2 linked regions of the Coturnix japonica genome follow. The protein of the gene in region 2 purifies or fractionates together with the protein of the main gene of each other region. This does not show direct contact. Links are inferred from orthologs where the notes say so. Each region holds a gene or a part of one and is shown on either strand. Other genes may lie near its edges.

Region 1 (3,814 bases), on a different chromosome or scaffold from region 2:
CCCACCCCACCACCCAGCTAACCCTACCCGAGTCTGCAGCAGGTTAGTGCTTATCAGAACAAATGAATCTCTTGTTTATTTGATCTTGCTAAAGCAAGAGAAAACATTCCACCTGTTTCAAGCATACTAGATGACATCCCTACTTGAAAAATTATTCCCTAGGGATTGGTGTATGCTGCTAGGGTCTGATCCACGATTTCATACTCACACCCACACGCACTGTCTCTCCTTGGGTCTCACTCCCAGCTGCATGGCAGCCCTACATAAGAGATATTTTCCACTCACAGCATCTGGGATGTAATTTTTAGCATTGAGACCGTTTCAGTTCTTGTCGGTTGCAATCTATAATTAGTCATCCTGGCCCTGTTTGTCTGTTTCTATGGTGACTCTGGGTATGAGGAAGGAAACAAAGGCAGCCTCTGCTTTTATAAGCATAGCAGAGTGAGATATAAATCAATAAGCTGTGCTGTTCAGGGCGTGTAACTCCAGAGCCACTTAACTTTAAAGAAAGCTGTAGATAATTCTGTCTCACCGTGTGCCTGATATCTTTCTTATTTCACATGGCCTCTAACAATATGGTGTCAGTGCTCCATTCTGTCACCCCCATCACACTTCAGCGTGTTTGGAGAAGTACAGGGTAACTTACCTCCTCCGGCTGTTAACGGCAATGCACACTGCGAGGATCAATGCCAGTGCCAGGAGAGCAGCAACGATGATCAGCCATTCTGGGGGTTGATGGAGGGAAGAGGAATGTGTTAATCCATCCCACGTAATTTCAGAGTTTCATGGACACTCAAGCATTATTTAAACTTTAAGACTTTTTTCTAGTTTAAGTGGGTATTTCCTCATTTTGCAAATTAAATACATTTTCATCAGCCGTGTTGCCTACATGGCCAAAAAAAGTGCTCATCTATGCCCAGGCCAACTCTGATGTAATGCCTGTCCAATGTTAACATATACAAGAACTGTAGTTTGGCTGACATAAGTGTAAAGCTGTTGTATCACTGATTTATTTCAAGAACAGGAGAAAAGGCTGAGACATCTGCAGTCCCAGGTGCAAAAGTAGGATGGATTGAAGGTAGAGTGAAATGTCTACATTCATTTTGTCACTTAAAATCTTAAGTTAAGGAGCATTTTTAGGGAAAACTTTAAAACACAAAAATAAAAAGGAACTGCAATATCATGAGGAGGTAGAACTGGAAGGGATGCCTGGAGATCACATAAGCTGCTTCACTCCGGCAAAACAGAGAGAATAAAAGCACCCCTGAGAAATGTTCTATTTGCTCTTAGCATTTTTTAAAAATGGAAATTTCACAGCAACCTTCCCCATAGCCCATTCTTTATGCACGTCACACTACGCTTACCTTACCAGACTTTGTGTCTTTCCCTGTTGTTTCTGTATGATTCAGTGCCTTGAACTGAATACAGTACCTCAGCTCTGGACTTGCCAGATCTACACTGAGTGGGATAATTACTTTCTCTGTCTTAAAAATGACTTTACTGTTAATATGTCCCAGAATATATTTGCATTCTTTTGCAATTGTGTCACTGTGTTGGCTTCTTTCTATTCTATTCCATTTTAATCTGTAAGCCCTTTTCTACAATGCTTGTCTCAGGTATAACTTCACACTGAACATTTTCACATATATGGTGCTTTGCATCTACCTTCACCAAACTGCCTCAGATTGCATACCCAAGTATGAAGATTATTTATCTCTAAATCCTGTTCTCAAAAACACACGACTTCTCTCTTCTAGATATTACTAGAGTATTCTATGAGTTACAACATGCTCTGTTTCTCAGACTGTTAGTGAAAATGCTGAACATTACCTGATTCAGAACAAAACCAGAATAACGATACTTGACCTACATTTCCGTCTGTTCAGTTCATATTCATGTCATTCTGTTCCTACAGTACTAAAATACATGACTTTGGAAACCTACCTGGTACCTGGGCTGATCTTGGTTGTGACGTTACAGTTGTTGTTGTGGACTCTCCAGGGAAAGGAGTAGGTTCACCATCTTCCTGGTATGGTCCCTGATCACTATTTATATTGGATGTAGACCCTAAAGAACAAAACCACCTGTTAGCCCAAATATCCTTTCTGAGTATTTCACAGGGAGGTACAAAAGCTATGACTTTTCTTATAAAAATATATATGTTTCTAGAAAGTTCACACAGAATCACACACAGGCTATAAACGTTGCACTCATCCACACTATTGCTAACTTCCATATTCTGTTAACAAAGCTTATGGCTGTAATCTTTCACCTTTTACACATTTCATTTTTGATTGTGAACCATGAACCAATATGCAATGACAGTTGCCTAGAAATTGTCTGGAAAGAGTGCAAAGACTTCTACACATTGGTGACTTCTTGAAGAGGTTGCTATTGCGTAAGTCTAAGGTCCTGCCTGCTCTATGGGGAAAAGAGAACGAGAAAAGAGTAGAGAGAGAAGACTGAAAAGGGTCAATAAGAAGAAATTTCAAAACTTTTAATTTTATTCCTATATAGGATAAAGCTGAATTTCCAAAACTTTCCTGCTTTCATAAAATAGAAGTACAGTTCTCTGCATGGTTTACATTTGATAGCTAAGTATAAGGTGGGACCTTAAAAATACAAAATGTTTTTCTTATTAGCAAAAATTCTCTCTGTAAACATAGAGATGGTTCCCTTGGCACTTTAAAATAAGTTTTGTAACTCAGATCTAAGACAGAATTAAATCTTAAATCCAAATGAGTTCTTCTAGTCTCACATATTTTCTGTGACAGTTGAACGGCTTGAAATCTTATGTGATGACAGTAATATTTCTGGCCCACATTGTTGCCACATGGGTATTCCATGTCTAAAATTATTTGCATACAGTGTTTCACATGGGTCTACAACTTTTTTATCAGTACAAAAAGCAATATTACAGATCTGCACCTCTCTGAAATCTTCTAGACCCTGATAGAGCAAATTAGACACTGTAATCAGCTGCGAAGTTCTTTTTCTTTAGCACGTATTGGAGTTCCCCTCTGTCCAGCCTTTCTGATCTCATTTCCTAAAAGCAGCTGGCAAATACAAACTAAGAAGTATATTTTTCCCCACTGCTGAGCATAGCCAACAAGTAGTTCATGAATGTTCCAGATGTTTTCATTATTATTAACAAGAAACTTACTGACTGATGATTTGTTCTGCGATAGTTTATCCCAGTGGACAGAGCATTAATTTAGCAACCAGAGGACTTGATCTAGCCTCCAAGAAAGCAGATCAGGAGGACTGTACTGATTGCCTAACTGGCAATTCAGTGGATATTTTTTTAAGGTGCTTTCTGTCACCCCTTATAAAAACACTTATTAAAGAATCCTGTGCTAAAAAAACTGCTGCATTCACCATCCCCTCTCCTGAGCACTGAGGAGAAGCAGAATTTGGCCATGTCCCCTGGTGTCCTGGCTCTGGGGAAGGTGCCTGCAGTGGGCAGAGAGGGCTCCCAGTTGCCCTGACATTTCATTTTGGTGACATACTGGGTATTCTTCTTTTTGACAGTTATTTTTTGATTAATTCAGTGGACTGTTCTGTTATTCCACTGTGACATTTGGACAAAAGATCAGTCATTAGGGCAATGTCAGACCACAACTTTAAAATTGCTGTGGAGGAAAAGAAATTGAAAGAAAGCAGTACAGTACAAGAACCCATTTGTTTGCTTGGGAGAAGCTTATAGCTAGAACCAGCCAATATATTAATGAATCTTTTCATTCTGCTACAGCTGCGCAAATGAAATGGCTCTTCAACAAATGAGCTTGTTTTAAAAAATGGCAATGCTAGTAAT
Region 2 (4,440 bases):
AAAAATCCATGCACAATGCCAGCTGCCATTGGAGGCTGAAGGTTTGTTTTCAGAGCACTGTCTTTACTTCCACTGCTTCCAGTAATTTCATCAGTCTAAAGAAATTTGTACCTTTTATATTTTTGCTCTGCTTCCAGTGAAGGTTTTTATGGAAGAAGGCTTTTTTTGAATGTCAGGCAAGTTAAGCCCCACACCTTCAGAAGAGCTCTCTGAAAAAGGCTGAGTGCTGTGCTGTGGTTGCCCAGGGAAGGTACAACAGCCCATGGTGGGCTGCAGGTGATGAAAACAGGTTTGGAACATGCTGTGTACTGTGGGGCAGCAGTGGGCATTCTCCACAGAGGATTCTCATGAAATTTCCAGGAAACCACAAACCATCCCCGAGCACCAAATAAGTATTCTCTGTTCTGATAGTTTGAATTAAGCTTCGAATGCAGGAACTTGTTTGATATTAATTGATAGGATAGAGAAATGCTGTACACTGCAGTGCTCACTGGGAAGGATGCAAATAGCGTAATCATGAGCGAGCTGCCAATAGTTCAGAAAAAAGGTTTTCTGTGTCTATCCCTCCTTGGTTATTCACACTTTAGACAGTTTGGTGGGAGTTCTATGTAGTCTTAAGCTTTCCATGTCCACTATCCTCCCCTAGTAGAAGCAGCAGGCACCCTTTTCCCTGTGTGGGGGAGTGTTACTCGTGATGTCCAAAGGGCAATTGTGGATTCAGAACATTTTTGCATTTTTTTGGCTAGGGATCAGATGAAATTAGAAAGCCATTTGACTGCTCAGTGCTTATACTGATGCAGATGGCTGGGTGATGGGGAGCTGCCTGGGGATCAGCTGGGAACCCACTGAGCTTTGATGTGATCCCAGAGCCATCTTCCTACTGAAACAGAGGGTAATCATTGGGTAAGAATGACTACATTATGCTATTAGATGTTTCAAGATGTCATGTGTTTCTTCTGAAAGCAGCCTTCGGAAATGAGAGTAAAGATCATGAGTCCATTTCTGTGGTGAATGCTTTTTCCTGGTTAGAACTGGTTATTTACTTCAGGCATTAATAATCTCGTGGAGGGACTGCTTAACAAATGTACACCAAGGGAAAACAGTTCTGTGTAGTATGACACCTCCTCGTGGCTTCATGTGTGACCAGTACTGAGAGAGTCAGCTTGGTTCAGACCCAGCAGTGCTGCATGAGGAGCAGGTGTGTCCTGAGGTCAGGTGCAAGCTGTGCTGGGGCAGGCAGGGCAGGATGTGTTCAGAAAACAGGCAGTGCCAGTCTGCAGTCAAAAGCTGAAATGCCTTCTGTTTTTATCTGCGTGCATTTAAACCAGATAAGCTTTTAGCATGCCTTGTTTCACCTCGGTGCAAATTATTACAGGTGAGTGATAACTGAAAATGTGAGGCTTTAAAATCACCGTAATTTTACAGCTGCAGTGTTTTAGTACTCCAGCATCTCCGTTTCCCAAATAAATGTGAAAGCACAGTTGTGCTCAGAGCTCTGTGCCTGTTTTTCACATGATAAAATGCCGCTTTATTGCTTTCTTTCCCCACCCCAATCCCGGGTCCCAATTAAACAGCAACCCCAGGAATCACTTCTCTGTGCACTGATCTGATCTGAAGCCATGAGCAGCTGCAGAAGTTAAGCTGGGCAGGATTTTTCCCTTTGGCACATATTGCATGCCCCTTAATTAGCTGACAAGCACTTGAAAGCTAGTGATTTTCATCCTGCTTTAGCAGAGGGTTCTTCTTTTAAAGATTTTAATTTCTCAGGTTGGAATTTGAGGAATCAGGCAGTGAAACAGAAGTTTGTAGGGTCCAGCAGTCTTACTGCTCTGAGGGGCTTTGTGAGAGGGAACACTTGGGTTGCCGGGTTGCCGGAGACCCTGTGCTCCCTGCAGCTCTCCTCCTGCCAGAGCATGGCATCTGCAGACAGGGATGGTGTTTCCAAAGGGGAAGTGTCACTGCTGAGTTGCTACCAACATCCAGAAACACCGCCTGTATGAAAAGTACTGTTCTGGGGAAATAACCTAGATTTTCACGAGTCTGATTTGGGTGTGTTGCCAGGCAACATGGGCTAACAGGGGTTTGTATGTTTTCTTTAGATAGGTGGAGGCAGTCCCCCTAGGCTTGCAGGTAGGCAGAGGCTGACCCGCTGCAGCAGGACGAAGAGTTCAGCTCTGAGCACTGAACTTTCACTAAGAGAGCTGAGAGAAAAAGCAGCTGGATCAGACCCAGAGCTGACGTATCCTGTTTGATTTCTTTTCCCCTCGCGCTCCGACACGCTTTGTGTTTCGGCAGGCTTTTGTTTCTGCGTACAAGTTGCTGTAACAAACTGGGGAGCGTGTCTGGGGGTGCCGGCGGCGATGTGCTGAGCTCGATGGGCTGGGTTTCCTGCGAAGGCTTTGTTCCTCCTACCACGCTCAGGTCGGTTGTGCAACATGCCCCTGAGCTTTGAGAAGAAAAAAAAAAAAAGTGCTGAGTAATGCCAGAGGTTTCTCAAATGGCTGATGCAAACCTGGAGAATTTGCATCATCATTCAGCTGGACTAACTTGGTACGACAAGAGCTTAAATACAGGTCCACGCGGAAGCTGAGCTGGTTCCCAATGATAGGGCAGTGCCCGTGGGCAGGGTGAGGGTGCAGGTGCTGCGAGCGCTGGCAGGCAGCAGGGCAGAGCAGAGCAGAGCTCTACCTGCACGTAGTAGCAACCCCACTGATAAGAGGTGGCGGAGGAAGAGGCTGGGAGAGGAAAAAGCCTTGAGTTGCTGCTGGGAACTTTTTGGCTGTGCTCGCCATCGGCGTGCTGGTGGCACGGTAGCATGGTGAGGAAAGCTGCTGTCATGACAGTTTCTAATGGGAGCTACTTGCAGGGGCAGCCGAACGGCAGGTTGCCTTCCATGGACAGCAGGCAGCCACAAGAGAAGGTGGTGCTGAAGAAGAAAGTCACGCTGCTGAGGGGGATCTCCATCATCATTGGCACTATCATTGGGGCTGGCATCTTCATCTCACCCAAGGGGATCCTGAAGAACACAGGCAGTGTTGGCATGTCCTTGATGGTCTGGACAGCATGTGGCATCCTCTCGCTCTTTGGTAAGTCTGCTTCCAATTGGTCTGGAGGGGCAGCTGGTGGATTATTCCTATTTTTTGTCTGATTTTCCATTGGATATCAAGGCTCAGCATGGAGCCTGAGGACCAATGGGGCTGCGGAAGGCTTTTGCTCTGCAGAATGCTGCATGCAAGGCACAGCAGTCCACAGTCTTTGTCACCCAGCATCGTGTCAGCACTGGTTGTGAGTACAGGTTGTTTCTCATGGGTTCCTAAAGAAAAAGCAAGTAGCCGCTTTCTGCTGTTAGCTGTGCTGTACATAATATGCTGTTCTTCTGGCTGTAAGAAGTAGCTCACAGCTTGCTTGTGAGGCCCCTGACAGCTGGTGTGCGGGGCCAAGTGTTGAGGTAGCTTTACTTGGTTCCCTGGAGGCTCGGTCAAGGTCTCAGGGAATAACTCCCACTGGGTGTAATCTGTGTTGGTACGAGAGGGAGCAGTGTAGTAACATCAACAGCCCCTCTCCCCTGTCTCATGTTACTGCTTTTCACTTTATTCCCTGCTCTCAGTGTGCCTTGAAAAGTTCAGGTTGCAAGGATGAATGCAGCAGAAACAAATGTGTAAAATGAGTTTTATTGTTGGCCTGTTTGTTGTGACAGTTTTTACTAATTTTGCTGTGTTTCTTTTTAACAATATTACATTCTGAAGAATGTCGGGTGGTTTGTTCTGTTCACAAAGCCCCATTCAGAGCAGAAAACCCCACCCTGACTCCTGGGGGACAGAGGGTCCATTGACCTCCTTAATGAGTTAATCTCAAAGAAGCGGAGGAACTAACATGAGTATTGGCTTTATTTAAAACAGAGGCGACTTGTTTTCTGGCACGAGGTAGGGAGGACAAATAGGGGCTAACACGTGTCTGTCTAATAGGTGGAATGTGCAAATGCCACCCTGTATAACTTGGCTCTGAGCTTAAAAGCAGCATTGAGTGTTTGGAGGCTAAGTCCACCCAAGCCAAACAGACGTTTCAAGAAAGTTAGGACCTGTTCTGGTCAAATGTTAATTGTACTGGCACAATGTGCAACATATTCTGTTGTCCAAATGTTTAAGTCCTGCCGGTAATAAAAATTTCCCTATAGAAACACCTCAAATACAATTTGTAATTCTGTCGTAGGACCCTGGTCTTCAGGTGCAGTCAAAACAGAATTTGCTTAAGCATCTCCCATTTAGCTTTAACTTCAATAGCAGTAATTTTCTGACTGTGAAGTAAAGTCTGTGGAAAAAAATCAGATGGGTTTTCCTAGTCATTTTCCAGATCTCAACGTGTAGAGATCTGTCTAATTTGGTCCAGTAAAAGATATTACCTCTTCCCTCTAAATGGACTTGGTATGGTTGTTATTTCATA

The links.
Region 1: the proteins of SLC7A11 (region 2) and CD44 purify together in Homo sapiens (affinity purification with western blotting; 3 studies listed by BioGRID and IntAct, with this or other methods). This does not show direct contact. The link is inferred for Coturnix japonica from reciprocal best matches to the Homo sapiens genes SLC7A11 and CD44.

What each region holds. Positions count from the first base shown.
Region 1 is NC_029520.1:5,853,919-5,857,732, forward strand, and holds part of CD44 (CD44 antigen), read right to left. Parts: intron 2,068-3,814; coding exon 1,945-2,067; intron 726-1,944; coding exon 647-725; intron 1-646. UniProt on the Homo sapiens protein: Cell-surface receptor that plays a role in cell-cell interactions, cell adhesion and migration, helping them to sense and respond to changes in the tissue microenvironment.
Region 2 is NC_029519.1:25,381,498-25,385,937, reverse strand, and holds the start of SLC7A11 (cystine/glutamate transporter), read left to right. Parts: upstream 1-1,438; 5' UTR 1,439-2,815; coding exon 2,816-3,086; intron 3,087-4,440. UniProt on the Homo sapiens protein: Heterodimer with SLC3A2, that functions as an antiporter by mediating the exchange of extracellular anionic L-cystine and intracellular L-glutamate across the cellular plasma membrane.